4 linked regions of the Ovis aries genome follow. The protein of the gene in region 4 purifies or fractionates together with the protein of the main gene of each other region. This does not show direct contact. Links are inferred from orthologs where the notes say so. Each region holds a gene or a part of one and is shown on either strand. Other genes may lie near its edges.

Region 1 (3,535 bases), on a different chromosome or scaffold from region 4:
GAGAGTTGGTTCCTTTCAGGACTCTTCTCTCCTAGTCCCCACTCCCGTCTTACTCTGCACCATCAGCCAACCCACTGGCCCCTTTTCCATTCTCAGACTCACTTTGGCTGCACTCGCAATGTCCACAGCCTCCACGATGTCAGCCTGGCGAATCTTTGCCGTGTCCTCCCCATCCTCTCCTTCCAGAAACCTGCAAGTGAGCGTGAGAGTTGCATTAAAGCTTCCTAATAAGAAGTGGGTATCCCAGCATCACAATCAGAAATTAGAGCCCCATAAATCAGGGATTGGGGAGGCCCACATCAGGGTCCACTCACCCAGGTTCTTCAGCAAGCAGAAGCTCAGATCGAGCAGCTCTGACACTTGTTTCCTCTTCTTGTGCTTCAGCCACCGCAAGTCGGCTTCGTGTCTTGGTCTTCGCATGTGGTAGCTAAAACAGCGGTGAGAGATGAAGTGAGAGAAGGACCAAGGGATGCGGGGGTCACAGGAGAGCCCCGCCTCCATTCAACTCACCCAGACACTCCCTCCTGCAACCGCTCCCCACTCTCCGACTAGCCCTCACCTCCTTGGATTTGTCAATGCGACAGTACTTCCGAACCACCTCCACACTGACAGGGGCGGGGCCTGCAAATGGGTCCTGGGCCTGCGGCAGGGAGGAGGCAATTAAGAAACAGGCTCGAGCTGACCCCAACCCCCCGACCCTGAAAGCACAAGGCGACTTGCCTCGGCACCCCGGGAGGTCCCAGGCTCACCCCAGAAAAGGTCCGCTGAGGCCCCGGACTCTTCAGTTCTCGGGGTTTCTTGGAGATCCGAAACTTCTTTGAGGTGTCATTTCTCTTTGGCTTCTGGGGGCGGAGCTCTCGACTCCTCTTCCGTTTATGAGGGGGACCTGGAGAAGCTCCGGCCGCAGTCCCAGTGGTCTCTTGCTCCCAGTATCGCCGCGGTTTCTACCAACAGAGCAGGATCCCTCGTATTCCGCTGCCCTTCGCCCCGCCCCTCGAACCCCGCAAATAAAAACTTCCTTTCCACCCCAAGGAGATCCCTACCTTCTTCTTGGCTTGCAGTCTGTCCTTCTTGGGTGGAACATTACTGCCCGGCTTGGGGACTGTCTCCATCTAGCCCACTCGAACCACGATCCACGTGCAAACTCCTCTCCACAGTCCCACAGTGTGATGGAAAACTCCCGGAAGTCCTCCGAGACTCATCCAATCAGCGCCGTTCCAGGTCTGAAGCCTCCTAGGCGCCATCTTTAATGAGGGCGCGCTCCCCACTGAGGGGCGGGACCAAGGCCCCCAGTGCGGCAACTTATGCCCAAGTGATGAAAGACGGGCAGTCCGAGGCCAAGACCCAAGCAACCCTGCAGTTTCTTTTCCCATCTCGGTTTCTCCATCTTGCCTTAAATCCTTCCGCTTCTGGTCTTTTTAGCAGAACGCCACACATTGACCATATTAGAACTACATTTCCCGGCGTGCGCCGGCTCACAGCTTCCGGTGCCGTCTTTCCCCAGCATTCTCTATTTACTTCCGGGTTCACCAATACTGAAGTGAGAGCGTGAGTAGGGGAGCGGTTCGGCTGAGGAGTTCGGGGTACTGCCACTCCCTGAGGCTGGGGGTGAGTCGATATCCCGGACCAGGAGAGACTGCAGTGGGTGGCCCGAGGGGCTGCCTCTCAAGAGGGCTGTCACCTCCGCAGGCCAGAAAGGGGAGCCCGGGTACCTTCCAGAGCGTGAGACCCAGCGCCCCTCTCCCGCTGCCCGCAGGCTTTCGTCCCCGCCATGGCTGAGCTAATCCAGAAGAAGCTGCAGGGGGAAGTGGAGAAATATCAACAGCTGCAGAAGGGTAAGGGAGCAGGGTAGGGGTGACCTCGCGGCAATTCACTCACAACCTGTCTATACCCGAATAATGTATTCTGTCCCACCTCTGGCCCCAGCCTGCGGCTCCTTCCCCTTCTCTGTAGTCTTCCCATTCCCTGTCCCGCCTGCTCATCCTTGCCTGCTTCCTCAGCTCCGCCTTCTTACCAGGACTGTGGTGGTCGGGTGGCACATGAGATGTCTCTAAACAAACCTTTTCATCCGGCAGACTTGAGTAAATCCATGTCAGGGAGGCAGAAACTAGAGGCACAACTAACAGAAAATAATATCGTGAAGGAGGTGAGAGACTGAGATTTGTGGGGCGAGGGGGGACCTGTCTTGGAAGTGATTCTGATGTTTTTCCCACTCCTCCACCAGGAACTGGCCCTGCTGGATGGGTCCAACGTGGTGTTTAAACTTCTGGGGCCCGTGTTGGTCAAACAGGAGCTGGGGGAAGCTCGGGCCACAGTGGGGAAAAGGCTGGACTACATCACAGCTGAGATGTGAGTCTTCCTTCCACCCCACTGTGTTATACTTGATCCGTTGGGAATAAAGGTGCTGAGAAACCTTTCTAGAGTCATTCTCCAGAGCAGCCCCCATTTGAGCAGGTTCTTCAACTCCTTCCTGTGTCCTTCAACTCCTTCCCTTTTCTTCATACTCCCCTTAGAGCTCAAGTTTCTGACCAATCTTGTCTTCAGCACCCTCAAGAGTAAGTCTCACTAATTTCTCATTTGCTTTTTTGCCCTTCCTCAGTAAGCGGTATGAATCCCAGCTCCGAGACCTAGAGCAGCAGTCAGAACAACAGAGGGAGACCCTGGCTCAGCTGCAGCAGGAGTTTCAGAGGGCGCAGGCGGCAAAGGCAGGGGCTCCTGGGAAAGCCTGACCCTGTCCTGGGGGGGTGGGCGGGGGGAGGAATGCGGCAGCTCTAGGGTCTATACTGTAGCTAATAAAATGTGAAAATACCTGGCGTGTTCTGACCAGCCACTTCTGTTGTAACTGTCTCCATCCTTTCCTCTGGTCCCTTCTCCCTCACCCCTATATCACCTGCATTACTCTCTTAGATCCAAATTTGTGCACTGAAATTTGTGTGTGGCAGAGTAACCCTTCTTTCTTGAGACTAAACTCCGAAATGTCTCAAACCTAATCCTTGCCTGTACATGCAAGCCTTAACTCTCTCTTCTCTTGATTGGAAGCAACCAAGAAAAGGGCATTGACAGTGAAACAATTTGGGGGAAAGTTAAGTTTCATTGAAAAACTCACAATTCTCTAACCTGCAGTCCCAGAATGGAACATGGTAATCCTCTTTTGCTATGATTTCTTGTCATCCTCAGAATAGCCCTGGCATCTTAGTTCTTTTTAGTCTCTTTTCTTCCTAGACTTTGTTTAAATGTAGCTTAAATTGGATTTCATATCCCAGCACATAATGCATTGTGATATTCTGAGACCTCCAAGTTTGTACATTGTCCACGAAGTGGTTCTTCCATTTCTTTGTCCTAACATTGTCTTAGGAATTCAGAGCCAAGGGTGTTTTTCATACTGATGGCTTTAATTGGGTACTTGACGTGGGTGTGTAACAACTGAGGAGAAAAACGAAAGAGCCAATAACAGGACCAGGGGTGGGGAGGTTGCTGGGGAGGCATAAACCATTCTGAGGAAACTGTTCCCACCAAGCCCTTGCATCCAGCTTTT
Region 2 (4,743 bases), on a different chromosome or scaffold from region 4:
CTCTAGTCTTCTTGCCAGGAAAATCCTGTGGACAGAGGAGGCTGGCAGGCTACAGTCCATGGGATCGCAGAGTTGGACACCACAAGTGACAACAGGTGAGCACGTGCTTACCACCTTGAAAGGAGTATTTTAGCCAAAACCAAGCAACAAGAAAAAGGAAGAGAAACACAGCAAAGGAGTGAACTATGAAGCCATCAAGTTAGACACTGTAAAAAAAGAAAACTGAAAAAGCCTGAGGCAACAGCTGAGTTCTGCATGGCGATCAAGTGCAAGGAGATAGCATTTTGGAGATAGCATCTTCCTAGAAGGATTGTTATAGGAAAAGAAATGTTTCTGGCACATGTTATTAGAAGCTTAGACACGAGCAAGGAGAAGGAACTACAGCAGCAAAAGTCTGTGGTTAAGACCCAGGAGCTGCATGGCTTGAATGCTGGCTGCATCACGTACTAGCTGTGTGGACCGTGAGGCAGTTGTTTAATTCTTGTCTTGGCCTCAATTTCCTCATCTGTAAAAGAAAAAAGTGCCTCTTCCCTACAGGGGATTAAATGAGTTACCACATGTCAAAGACTCAGAAGAGGACACAGAAGCTAGTAAGTGTTCAACAAACATTAGATATGGCTAAGGGAACAGATGGAAGCACCAAGAATTCTACCCCAGGGTGGTGGTCAGAAAAAACTACAGAGATCATATCTGAACTAGATGTTGAGAGATGGTGCAGCCAAACAATGGACAAGGGGGGAAAAGATCAATTAAAGCAGAGAAAGAAAAAAATTACTGTACCAACTGGAATGGGGAAAAGGCAATCTGACTTCTAACCACTATGGTACATTGCCTTATTACCGAAATGAATATGTATTAAGTATCTACTTGCAATACTGAAAGCACATTCTCTGTTTCTCAGAAGAAATCTGTAAGTAATGTTATCCTTATTTCAGTTAAGAAACAGAGGGGCTCAAAGTTGTAAAACAATATGCTCAAGATAAGCAGCAACTGGGAAGCAGAGGCAGGATTCAAACTCTAGTCTCGAAACCAATGTTCTTTCTAAAATACCATGCTATTTCCCATTAGTTGGGGAACATTAAAATATTTATATAAATGTGGATTGTTTATATAATGTATTGATGGAAATTTTAAAGATCTAGAAAAAGCAACTCATAACATTTTAGAGAAAATGCATTTTAAGATAACACTTTATATAGCCCCTTGATAAACTTCATCTTCCTGAATTAGATTTCTGAAGCCATCATTTGTTAAGCACCATGAATGCAGGATTTTAAGGCATTATGGAAATTCAATCTGACATTTAGTTATGAGTTTATACTGTGTGTCAGGCACTGTGCTAGGATCGGGGGCAAGATAATGACCTCACTTTCCTCCCAGCAGCAGAGCATGGCATGGAAGTAGAGGTCTGGAGCCCACAGACTGACCAAGTTTAAAGCTTGGATAACTCACTCACACATTGTGTGACTTGGGGCAAATTACTCAAGGGCTCTGGGGCTCAGTCTGAACATGTACAAAATGAGAATAACAGTATTTGCCTCTTACTGAGTTGTGTAAAAGCATTAGAATGTGCCTGGTACTCAACAAATTTTGTCTCTTGTTGATGATTAAGTGGGAGATGAGTGGAAGGAAATACATGGCACACTTCAAGGACAAAAATAAAATAAAATAGGACAAAACTGAGTCAGCCAATGCAAATATTCATACAGTGCATATAAAAGTGGTCTAAATAAAAGACAAGGGTCTTCTGAACGGTGGACGATTTCATCAACAAAAAGCCAATCCAGGTTCGATGCATAAGACAGGGTGCTCAGGGCTGGTGCACTGGGACGACCCTGAGAGATGGGATGGGGAGGGAGGTGGGAGGGTGATTCACGATGGGAAACATATGTACACCACTGGCTGATTCATGTCAATGTATGGCAAAAACCAGTACAATATTGTAAAGTAATTAGCCTCCAATTAAAATAAATAAATTCTTTTTAAAGGCAGAGATTAAGACAATATCGGGACAAAGCAAAAGGTGGAGAAATTTCCATTAAGGTTTCATAGTAGTTCAGCCAGAACTGAGTGGAGAAAGATGGGTGATACTGGCCTGGAACACCCATCAGGTTTTCTCAACACTCAACTAGTTCTCAAACACTATTTCGAGTACAGCCTTATGGAGAGACAGGATTGAAAGCCTCTACGTGCTTCTCTGTTTGGCCTTGGTTTAGTCTCCCCGTTCAATGAACCCTCCAATACTGCACTGCCGGCTTCCTCTGTGAACTGCACCCTATGGACTCTCTACGTTGTTAGAACCGTGTACCTCAAAGTGATTACAAGTGGCTTCACTAGAAGGAAATGGCAACCCACTCCAGTATTCCTGCCTGGAAAATCCCATGGACTGAGGAGCCTGGTAGGCTACAGTCCATGGGGTCACAGAGTTGGACACGACTCTGCAATTTCACTGTCTAATGAGCGCCCGCAGCCAGCGGGCTAAGGCCTCCATGGCCTAGCGGGTTTCACATGGCCTTCGAGAGCTTTCCCGGCCGACGCCCCCATCATGGGGTCTTCTTCGGAAGCCACAGGCCGCCGCAGCCCTTCTACACCCGAGATGTCATTTCCGAGCTTCACACCTGAGCCCCAGCTCCGTTACCCCGTCCCCCTCGGTCTCCCCAGAATCCAGGCTGAGGGTCCAGCTTCTCACCGCCTCCCGTCTTCTCGGAAGCGGGGTCGGAACCGCAGGCCACGGAGGGCGGGGGAAGGCGGTCCCTCAAAGCGGCCCGCCTCCGCCCCCAAGTCCTCCGGCCCCGCGCCCGCTTAGCGCCTGTGACCTGCTCGGACGGCAGGCCCCCTCCCAGGCAGGTCCCGCCCCAGTTTAGTCCGTCCAGGCCGGAGCGCCCCCTCCCAGGTAATTGGGCCCAACGCCTCTCTCCCCAACAACCAAGTCCCCGGTGAGGGGCCAGGAAGAAAGGGTACAACAGCGTAGCATCAAACACCCGCTGGCCACTCACCACAAAAACCGCTTCAGGAATCCCCAGGTGGAGTCGCCTCCCGTTCCCCGCAGCCACTTCTCCTACACCACAACCGTCCTTAGAGGCCGCCATTTTGGAGAAGCGAGCGCGCGACTAACGTGCCTCGCGAGCGGCCTGTAGCCGGGGGCCTGTGATTGGCTCGGGTCACAGTCGCGGGCCCGCCCCCCCGCCTGGGAGTCTGTGCGTTCGTTGGCTTACAGGAAATACCCCCCGCCCCGTCCCCCGCTCGGCAGAGTCGCTCGATCTGTGGGCTCTAATTGGCTGCGCGGGTGAGTGACAGGAGTGGAAGGGCCGCGGAGGCGAGGCTGGCTCTGCGGGAAGGACCAATACCGAGTCCTGGGAAAAGGGATTCCGGGGGTTTTGTGGGTGGGGCGGCGGGCTGGAGGATGCGGACAATCCCGGAAGAAGCCGGAATAGACTCCACTGCCAGCCCGGAACAGGCCTCTCCAGAAGAACCATCGGAGCTACCCGATCCCTTCTCGAATTCAAGCAGACTCGAGACCTAGACGCCACCACGGGACTTGGGCCTCGGTGACATTCTGGGCCCACGATCCTCGCGAGCTTTTTGGCTCCTGAAGGGTGCTTGTTTTGAGCCTGCTTCCGAGGGGACCTAGTGGCCTGATTCTAATAAATACCCCGCCCGTTGCATCACAATTTACCGAAAGCACCTCTGATCAGACTCTCACCACCAGCTCAAACGTTTTCAAAACTTCACACTGTCCATATTAATACAAAATCCTAAGAACTTTCCCGATGTTTCTAGACCCAAGGAATCCCCAAGCTCATTCACCACTACCCCCCTGTTTTCTGACATCGGAGCACCATGTTGGTTCCTGCCTCGGGCTTCCCTGGTGGCTCAGTGGGTAAAGAATCCACCTGCCAATGCAGGAGATGCAGGAAACACAGGTTCAATCCCTGGGTCAGGAAGATCCCCTGGGGAAGGAAAGGACAACCCACTCCAGTATGCTTGCCTGGGAAATCCCATGGACAGAGGAGCCTGGTGGGCTACAGTCCATGGGGTCACAGAGTCAGACGTGACTTAGTGACCAAACCACAACTAAGAAACACGGACGTCTCTATCTTGCCTGCACAGGGTAGGAAAGGAGCACAGGTGAAGACACTACCTGAGTTATTTAAAAATTAAAATGCAATGGGTACCAACAAGGCTGTCGTAAAGATTAAATGAGATTATGTATATAGACTACCTGGGTTTTCCTGCTGGTTCAGATCGTAAGGAGTCTGCCTGCAATGCACAGATTCGATCCCTCGGTCAGGAACATCCCCTGGAGAAGGAAATGGCAACCCCCTCCAGTATTCTTGCCAGGAAAATCCCATGGACAGAGGAGCCCGGCGGGCTATGGGCTACAGTCCATTGAGTTGCAAAGAGGCAGACACGACTGAGCGACTAACACTTTCACTTTTCCCACAGAATACCTAATAAGTACTTGGCATACAGTAGGACTACAGTAGTGAGGGAACTAGGCCAGGATGAAGAAGTGGAAAGAGGGAGGCAATTGTTGTTCAGCTGCTAAGTTAAGTGGGCAGAGCTTTGAGCTGGACTGAGTGGTGAAGGACAGAGTTTCCCGGAGAGTTTGGAGGATGGCAAAGAGGGCGCTACTAGAGGTGGGGTAAAGGCTAGACGACTGGGAAGAAGGGAGGGGTTGGAGGGGTGGGGGGATGGCTGGTATCCCAGGAGTGGAGAAAGTGGGCAGGGCAGTAAGACTCA
Region 3 (4,719 bases), on a different chromosome or scaffold from region 4:
TAAGATTCATGACTTGTGTGACTACTAATAATTAGGTTGGGAAGAGGAGGTTAAAACTATAACTACTTAAAAAAATCTTCACACACAAAACCACTATAAACATCTTTTCACAACAAATCATATTTTTACCATTCAAGCTACACACATAAGTACCTAAGTATGGAGAGAAGAACTTGGAATAAATATTTTTAAAATGTACTTCAAAGTTTAAGATTAAACACATTTACCTAGAACTCAGTTTCTCATTTAAAAGAAAAAAGATATTTGACCTAGTGTTCTTTAAAGCTACTATGATACTTTAACCCAAGTTGTAAAGTGAACAAATTCTATGACTTAATTCAGGTAAACTTCTTTCAGGATAACCCCCTTAAGGATATACTTTACTTACATTCTTCCTACACCTTCATACATGTTAGTCTCATCTACCAAAGTCATAATCTCTGTATCTGTAAGATGTGCATGCTTTTTCGTTCTGTTCAGCTGTTCAATCTGTACATCTGCAAGCTTCACCTTCTGTTGAGTGTCAATAACTTTGGCTTGAAGCTCTGTGAAGGCCTAAAAAGAAATAAGTCCTTGATTTAGTAGGTGCAACATTTTACAGTAAATGTCTATATCAAATCTATTAAAATGAAGCCTGTTAAACAGACAAAGCCGTGAAATTTACCACAGCAAACATCTCAAAGCCAGTCTGCTAAAAACTTGAGCCCTGAACAATTCAGTGATTAGAAGCACTGACCCTCTGTGCAGTTGAAAATCCAAGTATAATTTATAGTTGACTCTCCATATAGCAGTTCCTTTGTATCCCTGGTTCTACATTTGTTGATTCAACCAACTACATATCATGTAGTACTCTAGTATTTACTATTTTAAAAATCTGTGTACAACTGGATCCCTGACGTTTAAACCAATGCTGTTCAAGAGTCAACTGTACTGAACTTACCCAGTCCTCAGAAGATGCAACCTATCTGAAGAAGCTGAACAAAGGCACGGTAAATAACAACCATATCAAGTAGCAGGTACCCAAGGATTAATAAAAGCTCTAAAGGCAACAATCACAAACCCAGAGACCCAAATCAGGAACCATTAATGTAACAACTCACCACATCTGTACTACTCAAGATTATTTAAAGCACTTTCCCACACTTGTTTGAAATATTAACATGTGAATATTAATATGAGAATACTGACATATAATAAATGTCTCATTTTCTCTTTTCAATAATCCTGAGTTAAGGATGGCAGATTCATCAGCACAGTTTACAAATTAACTAAATGTTTTAAAGAGATATAAATGACTTTCACAGGGCTGAGCAACTACTAGGTCAAAAACCAAGTACTTAATTAACTTCTGACCGCTAGTTACTGAATCTTTCTACTCTACTATCCACAGTAATATTCAGAAAATGAATATTTTAAGAGAAAGACACACAAAAAAATTCAAAGCATTGATAAAAGAATTGCATCATGATCTTCATATGCACACGATAAGCCAAACTTGACCTCTGAGTACTGTTAAAAGGTTTTTGATACTTCTGAAGTGCCTAGAATGATTTTCACATGCTGTCAAATTCTGACTTAATAATAACATCTGTGGCTGCAATACATGGCAAAAAGCTACTAACTTTTATTCTGACTTTGTTCTCACCTACTAGTAAGGTTTCAAAAGGTTTATCTAGAGGGGAGAGGAGGTACCTAAAGTTTCCTATTAGTCTCCATCCCTTCCCCTCCCCCCAAAATTATAAACATTAAAAGACCTTTAAACAAGTTTCTTCTGTAATTTTATTGGTTGACAAAACTACCCAATTTAAGTCTGTAATTATCTTCTTAGTTTGCATTCACTGTCCACAGGTTTCCCAGCAACAGACTGAAATAATACTGAGGGGTAAGTCCATTCATAGCTGTATTCTATTGTTAGCTCTCACTAAACCCTAACTTAAATTTGAACTTTTAACGGAAAAAAAAGGTAAACTTTTAAAACACTTTAAGACACAGTTTGGTAAGGAAGCTAGTATTTTGTTAAAGCTGAGATAATACAGCACTAGACAGCACCATAAGGAGTAAAGGTACAAGTTCCAAACAAAAGGCAATACACACACACAAATCCTCAGAGCAATAATACACTGCTTCATCTATTACGTGGAAGAGCTACTTCAACTGTCTTATTTCTCATGCAAAGATAGATTACAAGACAGTCTTAAACAAAATTTGCTCTTCTAACCTCAAGTAGTGGTCAAAAGGTGGAAAGTGAGGCAGAGAATGCAATATTCTAGAACCAAGCTTGGGCTGACTCTTCTGTTAAACTGTTTCCTTTTCTAGAAAAGTATCAGTTTAAAGTAGATGAAGTCTAGGCTCCTTTCCAATCCCCATTCTCCTTCTCTTCGCAAAAAAAAAAAAAAAAAAAAGGATACGCTTTTGAGTCGGTAGTGGTGTTAGAATCCTGACAACTCTCAGGTGGTGAAAACATTTCTGTGTAACAACACATTTCTAGGCAATTGTTTGAAGAGAGAAACTCAATTCCTTCTGATACCAATTTGATCTGGAAACCTTTGACTTGTTTCTTCTTTGACAAATCTTTAAAAACGAGGGTGGGGAGGGGGCGGTTGTTGGCAAAGCCCTAAGATGAACATTGCTACGAGGATACCTGACTGAACTGTATGAAGCGACCTTACAAGATATGGGATTAAAGAACTGACCTAAAAACAGACTGGACTTGGAGTTTTTCAAAGCAAATTAGTATACAGAATTACAGATGCTACAGCTCGGGCAAGCAGGCTAAGAGGCTCCAACTGGAAGCGCTCATTTCAGGCCTCACTATGGAACTGAAGGCACCAAGAGCAACGAAAGGTCTCTGGAGCTCGGAACAAGGGAACAAAACAGCTATAGGCCCGCCAAACTTAACCAGGCCCAGCCCAACCGGCTCTTACCCGGCAAAGAGCCGCTCGCCCTCGACTCCCGCCTAAGGAGGCCCGGTCCCGCCTTTGCACTCTGAGAAACCACTCCCCATTTCCCTGGGGCCTCTTTCCTTCCGCAGCACTCGAGACTCACTCGACATTATTGTCCACAGTCGCCTTAGCTTCCAAAGAAAAGCTTCTGCCTGCTCAAGACCCTCTTTTACCTTCTTCAACTCCAGATCCACGGGGGCCGCCATCTTGCTTCACTACTGCGCCTGCGCAGTGGGAGAAGCCCGGAAAGAGCGTGGGGGAAGGGCGCGCCCTGAAGATTTGATAGGGCCTCTTCCTTCTGCGCCTGCGCATGAGTGGGGCTGCTTGGTTTTCCTACCTTCCCCGTCGTTATTAACGCCTGAAATAACCGGGATTCCGATTCAGAGTACGTCTTCCCCACGTGACCTATGGGCCTGCCGTGATTCTCCACATCCTTCCAAACACGGCACAATCTGCAGATTTCGTGTGTGTGTTTTTTTAATATAAATTTATTTATTTTAATTGGAGACTAATTACAATATTGTATTGGTTTTGCCATACATCAACATGAATCCGCCACGGGTGTACACGTGTTCCCCATCCTGAACCCCCCTCCCGCCTCCGTCCCCTCGTGTGTGGTTTTAACCACTTCGACAAATAGTTTAGTTTGTGTCGCTAAATTAAGATGTATGTAGATCAAGCTAAAACCTTTAAAGTCATTCATGCCTTCAGCGAGTCCTGTGCTGTCAGGGAGGGATGAGAAAGAATCAGCCTGAGTTTCAGACATGGCAGCATGGAGAAGACCAGAAGGCTTCAGTTCAGTTCAGTCGCTCAGCCGTGTCCAGAAGGCTTAGTTGAAGCGTTTTCCCAAAGAACTTATTTATACTGAATGTTCTCAGAAGACCTTGTAGACACAGGAGTTCTCACGAGAAACCAAATTTCTTTTTAAAAGAAAAAAAAAATGCAGATTCTCTGATCCTCATCCCAAACTTACTTAGAATCTTTGATATGGGGCACAGAAATACATACTTTTGCAAACTCCTTTTATGATCTGATCTAAGTGGACTGCAAACCACATTTTGAAAATCTGCTGTAAAATAGCTGGCATTTGAACCAGAAGGATGACTAGAAGGATGGACATGAAAGAAATGGATATCTTCCTTACTCTAAAAACCTGTGAGGCAGGGGAAAGGGCAGGGAGTTTGGAACTAAACAAATCTGTATTCAAGGTTTGGTCTACACTGAGCGTAGGTATGTCTGCTTCCATTTACTAGTTGTGTATCAACAGAGTCTGTCTCCTCATTTAATATGAGAATAACAGTACTGACCTAACAGAGTTATTCTGAGGAGTAAACAAGATCAGGATGGAAAGCTCCAAGCATAGCACAATGCACACAGTAGGCACACAATAAAAAGGTATAATTAAGTTCATGTAGTTAGCATTGTTATATTTGTCTTTCAAGATACAGCAAGCAGCAGACACATAATATGTATCCATTATGTATTTTTTTTATTTTTTACATCACACAGACCATAAATAATCTCTCCTTGGAATTTCAAGACTACTTCTGTTCCTTTTTCAAGACACATGACACTATCTGTCTTAAAAATTTTTTTTTATTAGACTTATTAGCTGTTCAAATGTCCATCATTCGACAAATGGATAAACAAAATGTGAGGACATTATGCTAAGTGAAATAAACCAGTCACAAAAAGACAAATACTGTATGATTCCATTGTACAAGGAACTTGGTGGTGGTGGTGGTGGTTTAGTCACTAGATTGTGTCTGACTCTTGT
Region 4 (4,438 bases):
ACTTTTTCTTGAAGTAGTCAGTTGTGTCATATGAAGTAAGCTCATAAGGCAAGGCTGGAGAATGTTAGATAACTGACAACTTTCTCAGGACAGAGTCAGGGTCTAGTAGGGGGAGAAGTAAAGCAGCTCATGATGAATTCAAAAGTAAATGAAGGGACTTCTCTGGTGGTTCAGTGGTTAAGAATCTGTCTTGTAATGCAGGGATCGGTGGGTTCAATGCCTGGTTGGAGAACTAGGTAGGATCCCACATGCCCCAGACCAACTAAGCCTGTGTGCTGCAGCTACTGACTTTGCATGCTCTGGAGCCACTCAGTGCAGCCAAACAAATAAGTAAAATATTTTTTAAAAAGTAAATGAGAAACAGGGAGGTTTTGCCAGAGAAAGTTGAATCGTCTATAACTTGTATACCAATTCTAGCTGAAATATTTCTAAAGAAGTATTTAAAGCATTCAAAATGTATGGGTCTTTTCTGCTATCTTATGCTTTATTCCTTTAGCAGACCAGATTGTCACAGAACTGGGCATTGGGTTCCCTGAGAAGACATGTTTCTGGGTCCTGCAGGTTTATGCCCTCTCTTTTCACTGATGGACACTGCAGAACTTAATGCACACATACGTCAGAGTTAAGGAAGGTTGTCTACCGTGTCACTTAAGGAAAGGCCATCATGGAAATGTTTTCAGAACTCAGTGCAGAAAATGTCCACTCCCCATGAATATGGTTTATTAATGGTCAAGGCAAATCATGTAACAGATAATCTGGCTTTTTGCTATGCTTTCAGGAAAACCAGAACCAAAGGTATGGTTAACTCAGGAGGTCCAAGTGATCTTTCCATGTTTAAATACGAGGTATTTATTTGTCCTGCTGCTGCTGCTGCTAAGTCACTTCAGTTGTGTCCGACTCTGTGCGACCCCAGAGACAGCAGCCCACCAGGCTCCCCCGTCCCTGGGATTCTCCAGGCAAGAACACTGGAGCGGGTTGCCATTTCCTTCTTCAATGCATGAAAGTGAAAAGTGAAAGTGAAGTCGCTCAGTCATATCCGACTCTTAGCGACCCCATGGACTGCAGCCTACCAGGCTCCTCCGTCCACAGGATTTTCCAGGCAAGAGTACTGGAGTGGGGTGCCATTGCCTTCTCCATTTATTTGTCCTAGAGCTGACGTTACGCTCTCAGACATTTTCCCTGATGTTGTATTTTTAAAATGCAATCTCCACTTTTCCATCTTAATGTATGGGCCCCAGTGAATCTCCTAGAATTCACGGCAACCGACCCCCAAAGTATGGAAAAGAGTCAACAGAAAGAAGTTGTAACCACTAGAAAAGAGAAAGGGTTTCTGAAGTGCTGGAAATGTTCTCGATTTTTTTTTTCCTCCACGTGACTTCGATATACTGATATGTTCAGTTTGTGAATTTATTCATACACTTACGCTGTGTGGAACTTCCTGTAAGTATGTTTTAGTAAAAAATAAACCTCCCAACAGTGGGGAATGTAAACAAAATTCCTTTCCAGTCTAAGGGATGGACCCTCCCTAGGGCCCTCAGGCCTAACTTCTGGGATCCCCGCCCCCTGGCTCTCTTCTCCTCAGTCACTGGAGGACACACGACCTCCCGTGAGCCGCCTCAGGACGCAGAGGATCAGCGCTCGGCGCGCACTCGCTGCGAGGTCGAACGCTGGCCCTGAAGATTGGCAGGGCACTGGCTCCGGCGGAGCTCTGCCTCCTCCAGGCGCAGCTGACCCTGTGGCCCTGCCTGCTGCCCTGCAGCCACAGCGCGGGAGTCGCTGGACGGAGCCGCCCCACGGAAGGTTCACGGCAGAGGCTAGCGAACCGCTGGCCGAAGTCCGGGGCGCCGGAAGCTGAGCTGAGAGGACAGATACCGGAAGTCAGGGCGGCTTTGAGCCGACGCTCTAGAACCCGGAGGACCGGGATCTCTGTGGTTGGATGTGACGGATCACCGTCTACCTGGGACCACGCATTCCCAAGCGCCAGGCTTCCGGGGCCCATCGGGAAAACGGGGGACGCAAAACTCGGGCTTATAGGGGCTGATAAGGGAAGAGGGGCCTAAAGGGGACTGAGTGATGGTAACTACCGGTAACAGCCCTCCAAGATCCCGAGGCCACCAGCAACTGACCAGAGAGGACCTGGAAGATCGGAGCGGATGCGCGCGCGCGCACGTAGGAGGCGGTGCCTCGCAGTCTCGCGGCGCCCGGGGCTGCTGGCGCGCCTGCGTCCGAGGACCGAGCCAGGCGGCCGCGCCCCGGCTAAGCGCCGAGCGCGGGTTGGGTGGTTCCCTCCTGGAGACTGGACCAAGGCGCGGGCGCGGGTGAAGGCGTGGCTTCCTCGGAAGGTAGGCGCGGATTGGGGGAGCAAGTGGAAGGGGTGGGGACCTCAGTAAAGGCCATTCAAGGACTGGTCAGAGGCTGAGGGGAGTGGTCTTGAGGGGGCGGGGCGGGAGACCGGCGGAGTTGAGCGTTCCGCTGAGGTGGTGGCGGCTGCCAGACCTATTGAGGGAGCGGGTATTCGGGTCCCACCCCCCAACCCCGACCCCGGGGCTGGACGCCTGGGCGGCGTCGAGGGCCCGAGCGGCGTCGGGGTGAGGCACCATTAGCCTAGTGAGGACCAAGAAGAGCGGGCGGCCCGCCCCTCGCTTTCTTCCTGGACCGCGCCTCGCGGCGCCTCCCCCACCGCCGACCCCGCTTCCCGCGCTGGATTGAGCTGGGGGCTCCCGAGCGTGCGGGACGCGGAGTGCACGTGCTGCTCGGCCTGCGGGTCTGGAGCCTCCGAGGGGCCCCTGAGTCCGGGGCCGGGCCCCTCCTCGCCCGCGTGTCCACGCAGACGCCATGGCCGAGCCCCTGAAGGAGGACGACGGTGAGGACGGTTCCGGGGAGCCCCCTGGGCCGGTGAAAGCGGAACCCGCTGGCACCGCCGCCTCGGTGGCGGCCAAGAACCTGGCCCTGCTGAAGGCGCGGTCCTTCGACGTGACCTTCGACGTGGGGGACGAGTACGAGATCATCGAGACCATTGGCAACGGGGCCTACGGGGTAGTGTCCTCCGCGCGCCGCCGCCTCACTGGTGAGCGACCCTCCCGGCCGCTCTCATGTGTGGGAACCAAGTCCTGGGGGGGTGGGACCCGCCGTCCCAGCAGCCAGCAGAGAAGCTGGGATGTGAAATCTCAGTCAAGTCAGCAAGCAGGGGTTGGGCGCTGTCTGGGGGCCGGCCTCTGTGTTGGGCTCGGGTCTCTAGAAACTCTGCTGGCTCTGCCAGCGCAGCAGTCTGCTTCCTCCTTAGAAAGGTGACAGTCTGGGTGATATCAGAATGGAGGTTCACCGGAGTGCGTTGTGGAGCAGACAGCAGGCATTGGGTTGGTGGTGGGATGAAGAGGCCTGAGACGCACAGAGTGTAGGGCGGTACTGCTAACTAGCTGTGCAGTGTGCCCAACAAATTGCTGTGCCCAGGTCTCCATGTCTGTGACTTTGAGCTGTGTACCTGCCTTGGGACAGAGGTGAAGGGGAGATGTGGTCATGTACCTACTGTGCTCAGCACAGGATCTGGCACATAGTAGGTCCTCTGTGGTAGCTGTTGTCACATGCATAGCATATCGAAAGAGGCCATGTGCTACTCTGCAGCTCACCAGCTATCCCAAGTGGCATCTACTTTTCCCCTGTTCCCCAGGCCAGCAGGTGGCCATTAAGAAGATCCCTAATGCTTTTGACGTGGTGACCAATGCCAAGCGGACCCTCAGAGAGCTGAAGATCCTCAAGCACTTCAAGCATGACAACATCATTGCCATAAAGGACATCCTGAGGCCCACTGTACCCTATGGCGAGTTCAAATCTGTGTAAGGAGCAGGGATAGGGAGGGAGGCAGAGTTGGCACCTTTTCTGAAGGCTGGAGCCACTCTGCTAAAGTTCTGGAAGGGCAGCTGAACCTAATGTAGGGTAGGCTGGGGAAATTCCCATGACTCCAGGACCAGTGCTCCCTAAGGGTTTGCCAGGGACAGCTATGATTTCTTCAAAGAAAGTATAGAAGTGACAGGTTTATAGAATCTCAGTATGTGTGCATGCTAAGTCACTTCAGTCATGTCTTGACTTTTTGCGACCCTGTGGACTGTAGCTTGCCAGGCTCCTCTGTCCCTGGGGATTCTCCAGGCAAGGATGCTCAAGTGGGTTCCCATGCCCTCCTCCAAGAGATCTTTCCTGACTCAGAGATCGAACCCGCGTCTCCTGCGTTGGCAGGTGGGTTCTTTACTGCTGGTGCCACCTGGGAAGCCCAGAATCTCAGTATATAGCATGGCAAATGTAGGGTATTCATCCTATGTCTGTTCTTTCCTATTCCAGTAGCAGACGTCACTAGTCAGTCACAGAACACTGTCCTGCAGATTGCAGAAGCCTTTAAATTTTCATCATAGCCTTTCAAGCAGCCACTACCACACAACGAAGAGGG

The links.
Region 1: the proteins of MAPK7 (region 4) and PFDN6 purify together in Homo sapiens (affinity purification with mass spectrometry; 3 studies listed by BioGRID and IntAct, with this or other methods). This does not show direct contact. The link is inferred for Ovis aries from reciprocal best matches to the Homo sapiens genes MAPK7 and PFDN6.
Region 2: the proteins of MAPK7 (region 4) and VBP1 purify together in Homo sapiens (affinity purification with mass spectrometry; 3 studies listed by BioGRID and IntAct, with this or other methods). This does not show direct contact. The link is inferred for Ovis aries from reciprocal best matches to the Homo sapiens genes MAPK7 and VBP1.
Region 3: the proteins of MAPK7 (region 4) and PFDN1 purify together in Homo sapiens (affinity purification with mass spectrometry; 3 studies listed by BioGRID and IntAct, with this or other methods). This does not show direct contact. The link is inferred for Ovis aries from reciprocal best matches to the Homo sapiens genes MAPK7 and PFDN1.

What each region holds. Positions count from the first base shown.
Region 1 is NC_056073.1:7,615,247-7,618,781, forward strand, and holds PFDN6 (prefoldin subunit 6), read left to right. Parts: upstream 1-1,516; 5' UTR 1,517-1,548; exon of another isoform or gene 1,549-1,608; intron 1,609-1,689; 5' UTR 1,690-1,771; coding exon 1,772-1,835; intron 1,836-2,075; coding exon 2,076-2,146; intron 2,147-2,224; coding exon 2,225-2,349; intron 2,350-2,599; coding exon 2,600-2,729; 3' UTR 2,730-2,809; downstream 2,810-3,535. Other genes in the region: WDR46 (WD repeat-containing protein 46), read right to left, coding at 103-190, 315-427, 560-640, 750-944, 1,044-1,112. UniProt on the Homo sapiens protein: Binds specifically to cytosolic chaperonin (c-CPN) and transfers target proteins to it. Binds to nascent polypeptide chain and promotes folding in an environment in which there are many competing pathways for nonnative proteins.
Region 2 is NC_056080.1:81,701,365-81,706,107, reverse strand, and holds the start of VBP1 (prefoldin subunit 3), read right to left. Parts: upstream 3,113-4,743; 5' UTR 3,090-3,112; coding exon 2,997-3,089; intron 1-2,996. UniProt on the Homo sapiens protein: Binds specifically to cytosolic chaperonin (c-CPN) and transfers target proteins to it. Binds to nascent polypeptide chain and promotes folding in an environment in which there are many competing pathways for nonnative proteins.
Region 3 is NC_056058.1:49,169,934-49,174,652, forward strand, and holds the start of PFDN1 (prefoldin subunit 1), read right to left. Parts: upstream 3,165-4,719; 5' UTR 3,149-3,164; coding exon 3,116-3,148; intron 556-3,115; coding exon 389-555; intron 1-388. UniProt on the Homo sapiens protein: Binds specifically to cytosolic chaperonin (c-CPN) and transfers target proteins to it. Binds to nascent polypeptide chain and promotes folding in an environment in which there are many competing pathways for nonnative proteins.
Region 4 is NC_056064.1:33,842,757-33,847,194, reverse strand, and holds the start of MAPK7 (mitogen-activated protein kinase 7), read left to right. Parts: upstream 1-1,598; 5' UTR 1,599-2,342; intron 2,343-2,456; exon of another isoform or gene 2,457-2,830; 5' UTR 2,831-2,835; coding exon 2,836-3,067; intron 3,068-3,667; coding exon 3,668-3,833; intron 3,834-3,839; exon of another isoform or gene 3,840-4,230; intron 4,231-4,438. UniProt on the Homo sapiens protein: Plays a role in various cellular processes such as proliferation, differentiation and cell survival. The upstream activator of MAPK7 is the MAPK kinase MAP2K5.